3 linked regions of the Saccharomyces cerevisiae S288C genome follow. The gene in region 1 interacts genetically with each later gene. Each region holds a gene or a part of one and is shown in the gene's direction. Other genes may lie near its edges.

The links.
Region 2: mutations in YNR071C (region 1) and OSW7 together harm fitness more than expected from each alone (negative genetic interaction), as found in Saccharomyces cerevisiae (one large-scale study listed by BioGRID).
Region 3: mutations in YNR071C (region 1) and ILT1 together harm fitness more than expected from each alone (negative genetic interaction), as found in Saccharomyces cerevisiae (one large-scale study listed by BioGRID).

What each region holds. Positions count from the first base shown.
Region 1 is NC_001146.8:769,807-773,366, reverse strand, and holds YNR071C (aldose 1-epimerase superfamily protein), read left to right. Parts: upstream 1-1,898; coding exon 1,899-2,927; downstream 2,928-3,560. Other genes in the region: hexose transporter HXT17, read right to left, coding at 1-710.
Region 2 is NC_001138.5:231,507-235,587, reverse strand, and holds OSW7 (Osw7p), read left to right. Parts: upstream 1-2,043; coding exon 2,044-3,576; downstream 3,577-4,081. Other genes in the region: SAP155 (Sap155p), read right to left, coding at 1-1,346; IRC5 (putative ATPase), read right to left, coding at 3,647-4,081. UniProt on the Saccharomyces cerevisiae protein: Involved in spore wall assembly.
Region 3 is NC_001136.10:624,469-627,778, reverse strand, and holds ILT1 (Ilt1p), read left to right. Parts: upstream 1-1,780; coding exon 1,781-2,713; downstream 2,714-3,310. Other genes in the region: RLI1 (Fe-S cluster-binding ribosome biosynthesis protein), read left to right, coding at 1-1,071; VTC5 (Vtc5p), read right to left, coding at 3,058-3,310.

The sequences.
Region 1 (3,560 bases):
AAAAAGCAAAGCCCAAGTGGGACTCTCCATTGTGCAGTGTTATCGTATTTTCTCGTACCATAAACGCTACAATAACCCAAGAAAATACCGAAGGTCATGTTAAGTTGGTACAATGAGACAAGTCCACCTCTCAAATCTGTAGGAGCTATTTCAGACAAAAGCATTGGACACAACACCGAACAGCCACCAGCACCAAGACCATAGATAATCTTACCAACGAAGTATTGGTACCATTTGTGATTCGAACTGATCTGAATAATTGCACCAACCATATATACCAACACCACGATTACAATTGCCAGCCTTCTACCTAAAGTATCAGCAAGACGGGCAAAAATAAGACCACCTATGGCACATCCAATACTGAACATAGCCACAAGAAGACCCATACGCACGTTGCTCAAATAATATTCACCAGTGCTATGCTTGTAAGAACCGAAGTTCATTTTAAAGTTGTCCATGTTAATGAAACCTGCTGTGATACCACTATCCCAACCAGGCAGGAAACCCCCGAAGGATATTGGATAACACAATAAGTAAATGACAAGATAACCTATGAGCCCTCTTTTTGGTGGCTCAACGTTATCCCCGTTTATGACTTCGTTGTCATCAAATCCATCTGACCACTCTTTTTCCACGGGTGGTGCGACGTGAATATCAGCATCAGGACCATCCTGAATATCTCTATCACTTTCAGTGGATGATTGCATTTTATTAATTTTTCTTTTCTTTTCTTTTTTTTTTTTTTTTTTTTGATTTATCAAATGAGAAAGAATTTACACAACACTTGCACAACGAAAGAAAAATATCACACCTAAACTTATCGCTTTATATATCTCGTTCACCATATTATCCTGTGATTAAGGAGGGTGTTATGGCAGCAATGCTATCCTACCACTTGAACGATAAAATTCTGTGCCAAGGAGGTTTCACCGTTCGTATACACTTATCTCAATTGATACTGCTTGCCGCCTTCTTTTGAATAGATTCCGTGCTATTTTGCCTGTTTTTAGACGAGGATACTAATATTATATTATCTAATATTATCCTCGAACGTTTACGTCATCATTTGGGATACTATTCCACATTCTAGGTTGCTAACGGTCTTTGCACAGTCAAGTCATCCCACGCATTTGTGCCTATGTGCCTATATGTGCATTATTCTTAATACCCCGCCACTCTATGCACAAAAATGCATACCCCACCTCCACCTTCCTATTTTGTGCATTGACTATTTACTCCGAAACGAACCCTTGAAGTTAAAATAATTAAACTTTTTGGCTGCAAACCAGTGACGTCAGATATATTTTATAATAACCCCAGGGAGGCAAAAGCTTCTTTCTCGGCAAGGAATGAAGATGTGAAAAATTCGTCAAATAATAGCCGGGCTGGTTACAGCAAGGGGCGGACTTAAGAAATAAGAACGGAGATATAGAAAAAAACTCTAACGAAACATAATCACGCAATCCCATTGGAATAGTTTAGGATTCTTGAAAAAGAAAAGCCCCCCACAGTACGTCGTATTTCATTTACATCTGCAATACCCCCACTATAATTACTTCTGACAACATTTAGAATAAAGGTGTTGAAATTTTTTCTTTTCTTGTTTATTACGTTGCCACTGAATAGCCTACGAACCACAAGGAAGTGAACAGGAGCCTTTGGCAGCTTAGCTCATTGAGTGGTATGATGAAATAAACTTCCTACCCCGTGTTATTAAGATCAGTTAAAATATTGTGGGGGTGTCGTAATATGTAATAGACATGTGATACATTTTTATGTACACTCTATACTTTCAGCATATAAATACAGAGATAAGTTGAAGTTTGATAGCTCAATTGATCAGTTTGTATGATAAGCAGTGAAAAAAAAAATCAAAACAGATAACAAACAGCGAAATGTCAAATAGTAACGGTGATAATAAGTATGGTGTCATTACAATTGGTGATGAGAAAAAGTTCCAAGCTACCATTGCGCCACTTGGTGCAACTTTGGTAGACCTGAAGGTAAACGGCCAATCAGTCGTTCAAGGTTATTCAAACGTACAAGACTATTTAACAGATGGTAACATGATGGGCGCTACAGTTGGTCGTTATGCCAACCGTATCGCCAAGGGTGTTTTCAGCCTGGATGATGGTCCTCACAAGTTAACTGTTAACAATTGTGGTAACACAAATCACAGCAGTATCAGTTCCTTAAATCTTAAGCAGTACAAGGCGTCCCCTGTTGAGAATCCTTCCAAGGGCGTTTACGTTGTTGAATTTAAATTGTTGGATGATCACACACAGCCCAACCCTAACGAGTTTCCAGGTGACTTGGAAGTCACAGTGAAGTACACTTTGAATGTTGCAGAAATGACTTTAGACATGGAATACCAAGCACAGTTAGTTCGTGGTGATGCTACTCCAATTAATATGACCAACCACTCGTATTTTAACTTGAACAAAGTCAAGAGTGAGAAGTCCATTCGTGGTACAGAAGTTAAGGTCTGCTCGAACAAATCGCTTGAAGTTACAGAGGGGGCATTGCTTCCAACTGGTAAGATCATTGAAAGGAACATTGCTACTTTTGATTCAACTAAGCCCACCGTTTTGCATGAAGATACTCCGGTCTTTGATTGCACTTTCATTATTGACGCTAACAAGGATTTGAAGACTACAGATTCTGTGAGTGTCAACAAATTGGTTCCTGTTTTTAAGGCCTATCATCCCGAATCTCACATCAAATTTGAGGTTTCGACGACAGAACCAACCGTTCATTTGTACACCGGTGATAATTTATGTGGCAAATTTGTGCCAAGGTCTGGATTTGCCGTTCAGCAAGGTAGATACGTTGATGCTATCAACCGTGATGAGTGGAGAGGTTGTGTTCTTCTGAAGCGCGGCGAGGTATACACTTCAAAGACTCAGTACAAATTCGATATTTAGGTGAGGCTGAAGCTTTTTACGTTTGTTACGTTTCTTCACTTGCTTGTAGATAAAACCTTTATAATGATATATGATCTAGATTAAACTCAACGTTTGTACGTTTAAACCTAAAAGTTTTTGGACCTGTCCCAAAATAAATATTATCACAAGTGGTAGTACTAAATTGAGCGTAACAGGCGGACTCTGTAGGCTTTTTGTGAGTTTGGGGTCTGAATATTTTTTACTCTTAAAAAAGAATACAGAACTTACTAAAAAAAATCCGTACTAAAAAGGTAGAAACAAGAAATGGTTTATTTGAAAAAAATACTTTACGTCCCAGCCTCACTAAAATTGAGCAGGAAACCGTATATCAAAACTATCTACCAAGAGAGTTCTGGTAAAAACATTTATATGAATAAAGATTAAATTATGCCTATTTTTTTCCTAGCAGTACATTCACTATGTTTCTATATTTAACGCTTTGTCGTTATCCCGGATAAAATTCTTCAGGTTATTTGCAGACGTTTGTCACATTATTTTTTCATTGACAAAATTTCACGAACTCTAGTAATGTTCAAATTCAAATGTCATGCAAGGCCCCTATGAACATTATTACGCTGTTTAACCAGCGGATAATAATTAGATCGCGTTCGT
Region 2 (4,081 bases), on another chromosome or scaffold:
GATGCTAGCTGTCTCGTCAAGGAGTTTGGACCAATGGAAATATCATCCAAGGGTGCATTAGCAGAAATGGCAATCAGAGCCTTTAAGAAATCACCCACGCATGCTTGGATGTCAGCTGGGGACTCTTTGTTATTTAGAAAGCTTAAGCATTTGCTGATCAAGTTTTGATCATATACTAATTCAATTATTCCCGTGGGTGATTCAATCTTATCTGTGGATATTATTTTCAAGAAAAAATCCATCAATAGGGAAATATCAACATGCTTTAACATATCATCAACAAAGCTTCTCTCCGTTCGAATAAAATTTAAATATTGATCCTGCCTGGTTAACAACAGATTTTGGTTAATCTTTAAGAATATGGGTACCAAGGGAGAGTTTTCAGAATTGAAATTTGGCTGGTTGATGATAGACCAAATCTTGTTTAAGTATGATTGGTTTTTAACTAATGACTCGCTAATCAACCATATGTCTAAGGAAAAGATTTCAGATATTATGGTGGCCTTTGTCAAATAAGCAGATTCATCGTCCTCATTCGCATCGTCGTCGTCGTCATTGTTGTTGATATCATCGTTACCAAACGAGGAGCTTCCGCGTTTTCGTCTCTTCTTGTTATTGCTGTTATTATCGTCCTCTTTCTCCTCTTCTTGCTCCGTATCAGATTCCACATAAACGTCCTCTTGTGAGCTATCATCAAGCTGTTGCTGTTCTTGATAATCTATCAGGTTATTCAAATCCACTGTGGTGGCGGTTTTAATCTTCGAGATACATTCCATCAGTTGGTCGACCAGATATTCCATATTATTCACTTTCTTATTAGTTTTCTTATCAAAGAAAAATCCAAAGCAAATGAAGTCAAGTAGCGTCTTGTTTTGTCTCGATAATTCGTTCAGTAGCTCTGTCTCTACAAGCATTCTTTCAATAAAAGAGTTATCCAAATTCTTTGTGGTGACCATCATGGGAGCAGTAGCATTGCTGATATCCTCCTCATCTAAATCAGTTTTAGAAGTTGACCCAGAAGAAAAAGATGTAGTGGAAGATTCGCTAGAGTTCATGCTCCGTTCCTCTTCCTCTTTCTCATACCGTTCTTGCTGATCATCCTTCTCAAATCGACTCTTCTGATCTCCACGTGCCGTTTTCACTTCATCACCATGACTATACTCCTCCGGAATAGAATCTAGGGAGTCACTTGTACCTCGTTCCTGAACGTTGTTGAAAATAGCGGGAATGGCTTTACCAACGCTTGGGTTAATCCTTTCCAGTTCGTGTAGCACATGAAAATATTCATCTAGGATCTTATTAATATTAGAGTGATTAAGATTCTGTCCAAATGGCCAAAACGACATCTTTACTCTGGCTTGTTGTTTTCGTCTTTTTTTTCTTTTCTTTTGTAAAAACTGCTGCTCCAAAAATCAATAGAATGGGAACGGCAGAGACTATAGTCTAGGGAAGTAACGCTTGTGTCTTAATCGTGTTGAAATAAAATCAAAATGAAATAAAATCAAAATAATAAAAAAAGAGGAGGAAAAAAGGGGATAGTCACTCAAACCCACTATCTAGCTTTAGTCTCTCAGTCTTTTAACCGCTACTTGGAGAAAAAATACTGAATCCAATGGTCAAATAAGGCCTTTCTTCTAGTTGCTTTGGAGCGTATGATACCACGATACTGTTGGTTTTGGTTCTAATTGGCCACTTAAAATTATTTTTCTTTCTTTTTTTCTAGAGGAAGGGATAACCCTACTAAGACCTATTCTATAATTACCAGCCCTATAGTTGTCTTTCATTTTTTAGATAAATGCCCTCTTTAAAAATTAAATTAACCCTACTCATTTTGTTGTCATTTCGGCCCTTTTAAGCCACAATACAGGTATCATTTAACAGGAATTACATAATAGTACTTTAGAAGAGACTTGTATGGCATCGAGGCTTCCTTTTTGACTATTGGAAGATAGCATTTTTTTGGGTGTTGCTACTATCATATTTCTGTTACTGATTGACCTTTTCTTAACTAAGAAAAAGGTGGTTAGTTCTTTACTAAAAATCATGAAGGCCGTTTTCAAAGTAACGACTGCTTTGCTGGCTTGCGTGTTTATTGCAAGGTATCTGGTCTGTCAGCAAAATGGTCTGGGAAGCTTTGCCACAGATTTACAGCCCATTTGCCGGCATACTGAATTTTCAGTTGGCTCACTATTCGATTCTAAATTGGTTGAAGGTTCAGCGGTTTCTGACTATTTAGTTGGAAAGTACTCACAATCGATAAAACCACTGATTGAAAGATACCCCAACTCATCCTTGAAGAGAATTATGGGATATTTTTACCGCTTTTGGTACAATATTTTCTCTTTTCTAAGGCTAAATGAGCTCTGCTGTTCGCTACATTCCAAGTTGGGACCTTTATTAAATCATCTAAGGATTGCCTGGTACTATTTAAAGCCATATACAGACAATGTGAAGAATGTACTAGAGAATCCATTTAACTCCTCTACGGATTGGATGAAATACGGCTCCTTTAGCGCTGATGGCACGCTCACCAAACCCATTTTTGAGACAGACTCGGAAACAGAGGATTATGAGGATGATGAGAATGAAAATGAGGATGAGGATGAAGATGAGGATGAGGATGATGTCGGAATTGAGGATGAAAATAAAGAATACGAGTTCGATGGAGTACAGGATGGCCACGGGAACTCACAACTCGTCACTGCTGCTATTTTGCAGGATTTGTCAAAGATTATCATTGGTTCCAATAGCCATGCAGAATTGGAAACTTACGAGGCAGAATCATTAAAAATGGAATATGAAGCATGGATTAAGGCTATAGATTCGAAAATACACAGTGCGATGGCACTTTTGGATTCAGAGATACAGTCTGTGTTCGAGGCCGAGGTGCAAAATAAATCTATAGAAATCACTAGGAATCTTGATGACCTTAACACTACCGTTAATGAGCAATTAGTGTTTCTAGATTCAAAAATCAAAGATATTAATTGTACCTCTAAATTCGATCCTGTGCAAAATAAAATAAAGTATTTTGATGAATCGGGTCAAGTTGAACTGGAAGCTTACATTACCAAATCATCTATCACATCGATACTGAAGAATTATAAAATACATTTGTTAGACTTTGAAAAATCACTGTTTCATTCATTAGATTCTTTTCTTACCGAAATGGCTAAACTGGCAGAATCGATTCGTCTTGAAAACGTCGAAGTGTACGAAGAGTGGGGCGATGTAATGATAAGTCAATGGTCGCAAAGAATGGCATATATGGACGTCAGAGGTCTCCATTTGGAAGATCAATACGATCCTGCCTATATAGAAGAGAATCATTCCAACTGGCTCCGTTTCATGGAATTGAAAAAGAAAGTTATTTCTGAGAGGAACCGTCTGGTAAAACATGATCTGGATATGACTTTGATACTGGAATGGATTACTAAACTAAAAGCTGATTTCCAGAACACAAAAAATAATATTCAAGATACCTTTCTGCAACGAATGAATACTGCGGATACTTTATTCAAAAACCGTGAACTAAAGGAACAACTAGAGGAAGAATTTGTACGGCAAGAACATTGATCAATATATAGGTATGTATATGTACATATATACAAACATTTAATAAAAACAATATTGTATGATAACCAAGTTAAAGACCGGAGGTTGTTTCAAATAGCTTGACGTGCGGCAGATCTACGACTCTGTTGGCCTTGTACGCTTCAAGAGATCTGTTGGTCAATTCTTCAACCTCCTTATCAGTCAGTTGGCCCTCAGTAGCCTTATTTTCTTTCTGTCCCCCATTTTCAAAGCCTATATTGGATTCATCGCTCATTAAAAGCATAGATAACTCCTGGACTAAGTCCTTATTAGTGACATTAACACCCGCTTTGTTTGCCTTCAAAAAAGAACCTTCATTTAACGCCAATTTTTTCAGGTTATTGAATTTTCCCATCTGGATAACCATTCTTTCCAAATTTCGCTTATTGGCCGCTCTGGTCAATATAACATGTTCAATGGTGTTATCACAACACAACCTATATACTATAACCGGTGATTCTTGGCCAATACGGTGACACCTGTCCAT
Region 3 (3,310 bases), on another chromosome or scaffold:
GATGTTAAGCAACGTTTGAATGCCGCTCAAATTATTAGATCTTTACTAGCTCCAACTAAATACGTTATTTGTGTTGAGCACGATTTGTCAGTTTTGGATTATCTTTCCGATTTCGTTTGTATCATATATGGTGTTCCATCTGTTTACGGTGTTGTTACATTACCAGCCTCTGTCAGAGAAGGTATCAACATATTCTTGGACGGTCATATTCCTGCTGAAAACCTGAGATTCAGAACTGAAGCTTTACAATTTAGAATAGCTGATGCTACCGAAGACTTGCAGAATGACTCTGCTAGTCGCGCCTTCTCTTACCCAAGTTTGAAGAAAACTCAAGGTGATTTTGTTTTGAATGTTGAAGAAGGTGAATTCTCCGATTCCGAAATCCTTGTTATGATGGGTGAAAACGGTACCGGTAAGACCACTTTGATCAAATTACTAGCTGGTGCTTTGAAGCCAGATGAAGGACAAGATATTCCAAAATTGAATGTTTCTATGAAACCACAAAAAATTGCACCAAAGTTCCCAGGTACTGTCAGACAATTGTTTTTCAAGAAAATTAGAGGACAATTCCTAAATCCACAGTTTCAGACTGATGTCGTTAAACCTTTAAGGATTGACGATATTATTGATCAAGAAGTCCAACATTTGTCTGGTGGTGAATTACAAAGAGTCGCCATCGTCTTGGCATTGGGTATCCCAGCAGACATATACTTGATTGATGAGCCATCTGCCTACTTAGATTCCGAACAACGTATTATCTGTTCTAAAGTTATCAGAAGATTCATCTTACATAATAAGAAAACTGCGTTTATTGTCGAGCACGATTTCATCATGGCTACTTATCTTGCTGATAAGGTCATTGTTTTTGAAGGTATTCCTTCCAAGAATGCTCACGCAAGAGCCCCTGAATCTTTGTTGACTGGTTGTAACAGATTTTTGAAGAATTTGAATGTCACCTTCAGAAGGGATCCAAACTCCTTCAGACCAAGAATTAATAAGCTAGATTCCCAAATGGATAAAGAACAAAAATCATCAGGAAACTACTTTTTCTTGGATAACACCGGTATTTAAGCATCTTGGGATTCGGAGAACCAAGAGGACGATTGTTTTATTTTTGGGTTTAGAAATGTGGAGAAATAATTAAGAGTTATAATGTTTTTGCAAAACAAAATGAGTATTATATTACATTGAGTTCCTTCCCAAGCATCGGGTTGTTTATTTCTAGATATACGCCAACTAATACATTTCTAACTTCCCACCTTCATTACATCATAACCTGAAAGTGAACAACCTCCTCTTCGGTGATCCGTACTCCAGTTTATTTCATTTTTCTGTAAAGCAACTACACTATATTTATTCTCTATTTATTTTATATACCTATTGTATTTTAATTAATCGTTATTTTGTCCGCACCTTCTTCGTAATCGAATTTACCTTGTAAACGAGTCGTCATGATAAGCATTTGCTGCATTACTGAACGTTTATCTTAGCATGACATTAAAGTCCGTTTGTCTAAAATATCACCCAATTATTTCCGCGGTGTGAGCGCCAGATAAGGTGCTTCGGGTAATATGAGAACGCCGTTTCTTGATAGCATTTTTCAATGACTAGATAGGTAGATTACCTCTGTATCACACTTCTCGTACCAAACGAAACTCATATAAATAATGCTTTCCTTCTGGTGCCTTCTACTTTCCGCTGATCTCTATTTTCAAATTAACCGCTGAAATATAAACTGTGGAATACTATAACATAACATAGATTTAAGAATAAGGTATTCATGATCTCTGAAAAGGCTGCTACCGCTTTAGCTACTATAGCAACAGTTTGCTGGTGTGTCCAGCTAATTCCGCAAATAATATATAATTGGAAAAAAAAGGACTGTACGGGGCTGCCACCACTGATGATGTTCCTCTGGGTTGTTTCCGGAATTCCATTTGCCATATATTTCTGTGTTAGTAAAGGTAATGTCATTTTACAAGTTCAACCACACCTTTTTATGTTCTTCTGTTCTATAAGTTTCGTCCAATCGTGTTATTATCCACCAATCAGTATGGCGAGATCCAAAATAGTAATGATTGTAGCTGCTATTATTGCGGCTGATGTTGGCATGGAAGTTGGCTTTATATTATGGCTGAGGCCCCTTTACGAGAAGGGTGTTAAATGGCCCGATCTGATTTTTGGTATTTCTGCATCTGTTTTGTTAGCTGTCGGACTGCTTCCACCTTACTTTGAACTAGCCAAAAGGAAAGGTCGTGTTATTGGCATCAACTTTGCCTTCTTATTCATCGATTCATTAGGTGCTTGGCTATCTATCATCAGTGTTATCCTAGGTAATATGGATATTATGGGTATTATATTATACTCAATAGTTGCTGGAATGGAGTTAGGAATTTTCGCGTCTCATTTCATATGGTGGTGTAGGTTTAGATTCCTAGCTAAAGGCAATACTTTTGACGAAGAAAGTGGCCAAGCTCAAAAGGAAGAACCCGATGAAAAAATCGAACAAGATATTAGCAAGAGTGACCGAAATGTTACTAACTATAACCTGGATAACTGTTCAATCCCCGACGATGCTTCGAGCTTTGCAGACGATTTTAATATATACGATAGTACTGATGGGGGGACGTTATCAAGAGCCCAAACATTGCATGCTGTCCATGGAGTTGTGGTTAGAACAGATCCTGATCGTTATTCGAGGCTAAGTGTGTAACGAATCTGAGTCCTTTTTAGTTAGCACGTTTTCATCTCTTTTTGATAGCACGCTTAATAATATTCACCACTAGCGCAGTAATATGGCATCTGCCGCAGGTGTAAAGGTTTTCACTTCGCTTATATTCACAATACTATGCGTTCAAACACGGCCATCAGAAAAGATCAAAATAAGGATTATTAATTAAAAACTTAAACAGAAATTCAGTTTGCAACACCCTTCGCAATGGCGAAGTTTCCAAAAACAAAATCTCCAAACAAGATTAACATTCTTCTTATGTAACCACATGATATGCATATTTTATATAGACTGTACACATGAAAAACTTTTATCGTCCAAAATAATTAAAAGAAAATTTCAATCATACCATAGCACACTGTTCCAGTAACTGAGAAAAACATTGTGAAGCAACCAACATAATGCCAGATTGGCGCCAAAGTGAACCGACTAAATAACAACAACAGGCACGCACAGATCAAAATAAGGGAAACCAGTAAGGAAATGATAATAATGGCTATGAGAATATTTTGAATTTCTAAATCTATCTCATTATTACTTTGCCCGCGAAACAAGGATAAAACGATTCCCAGACATACA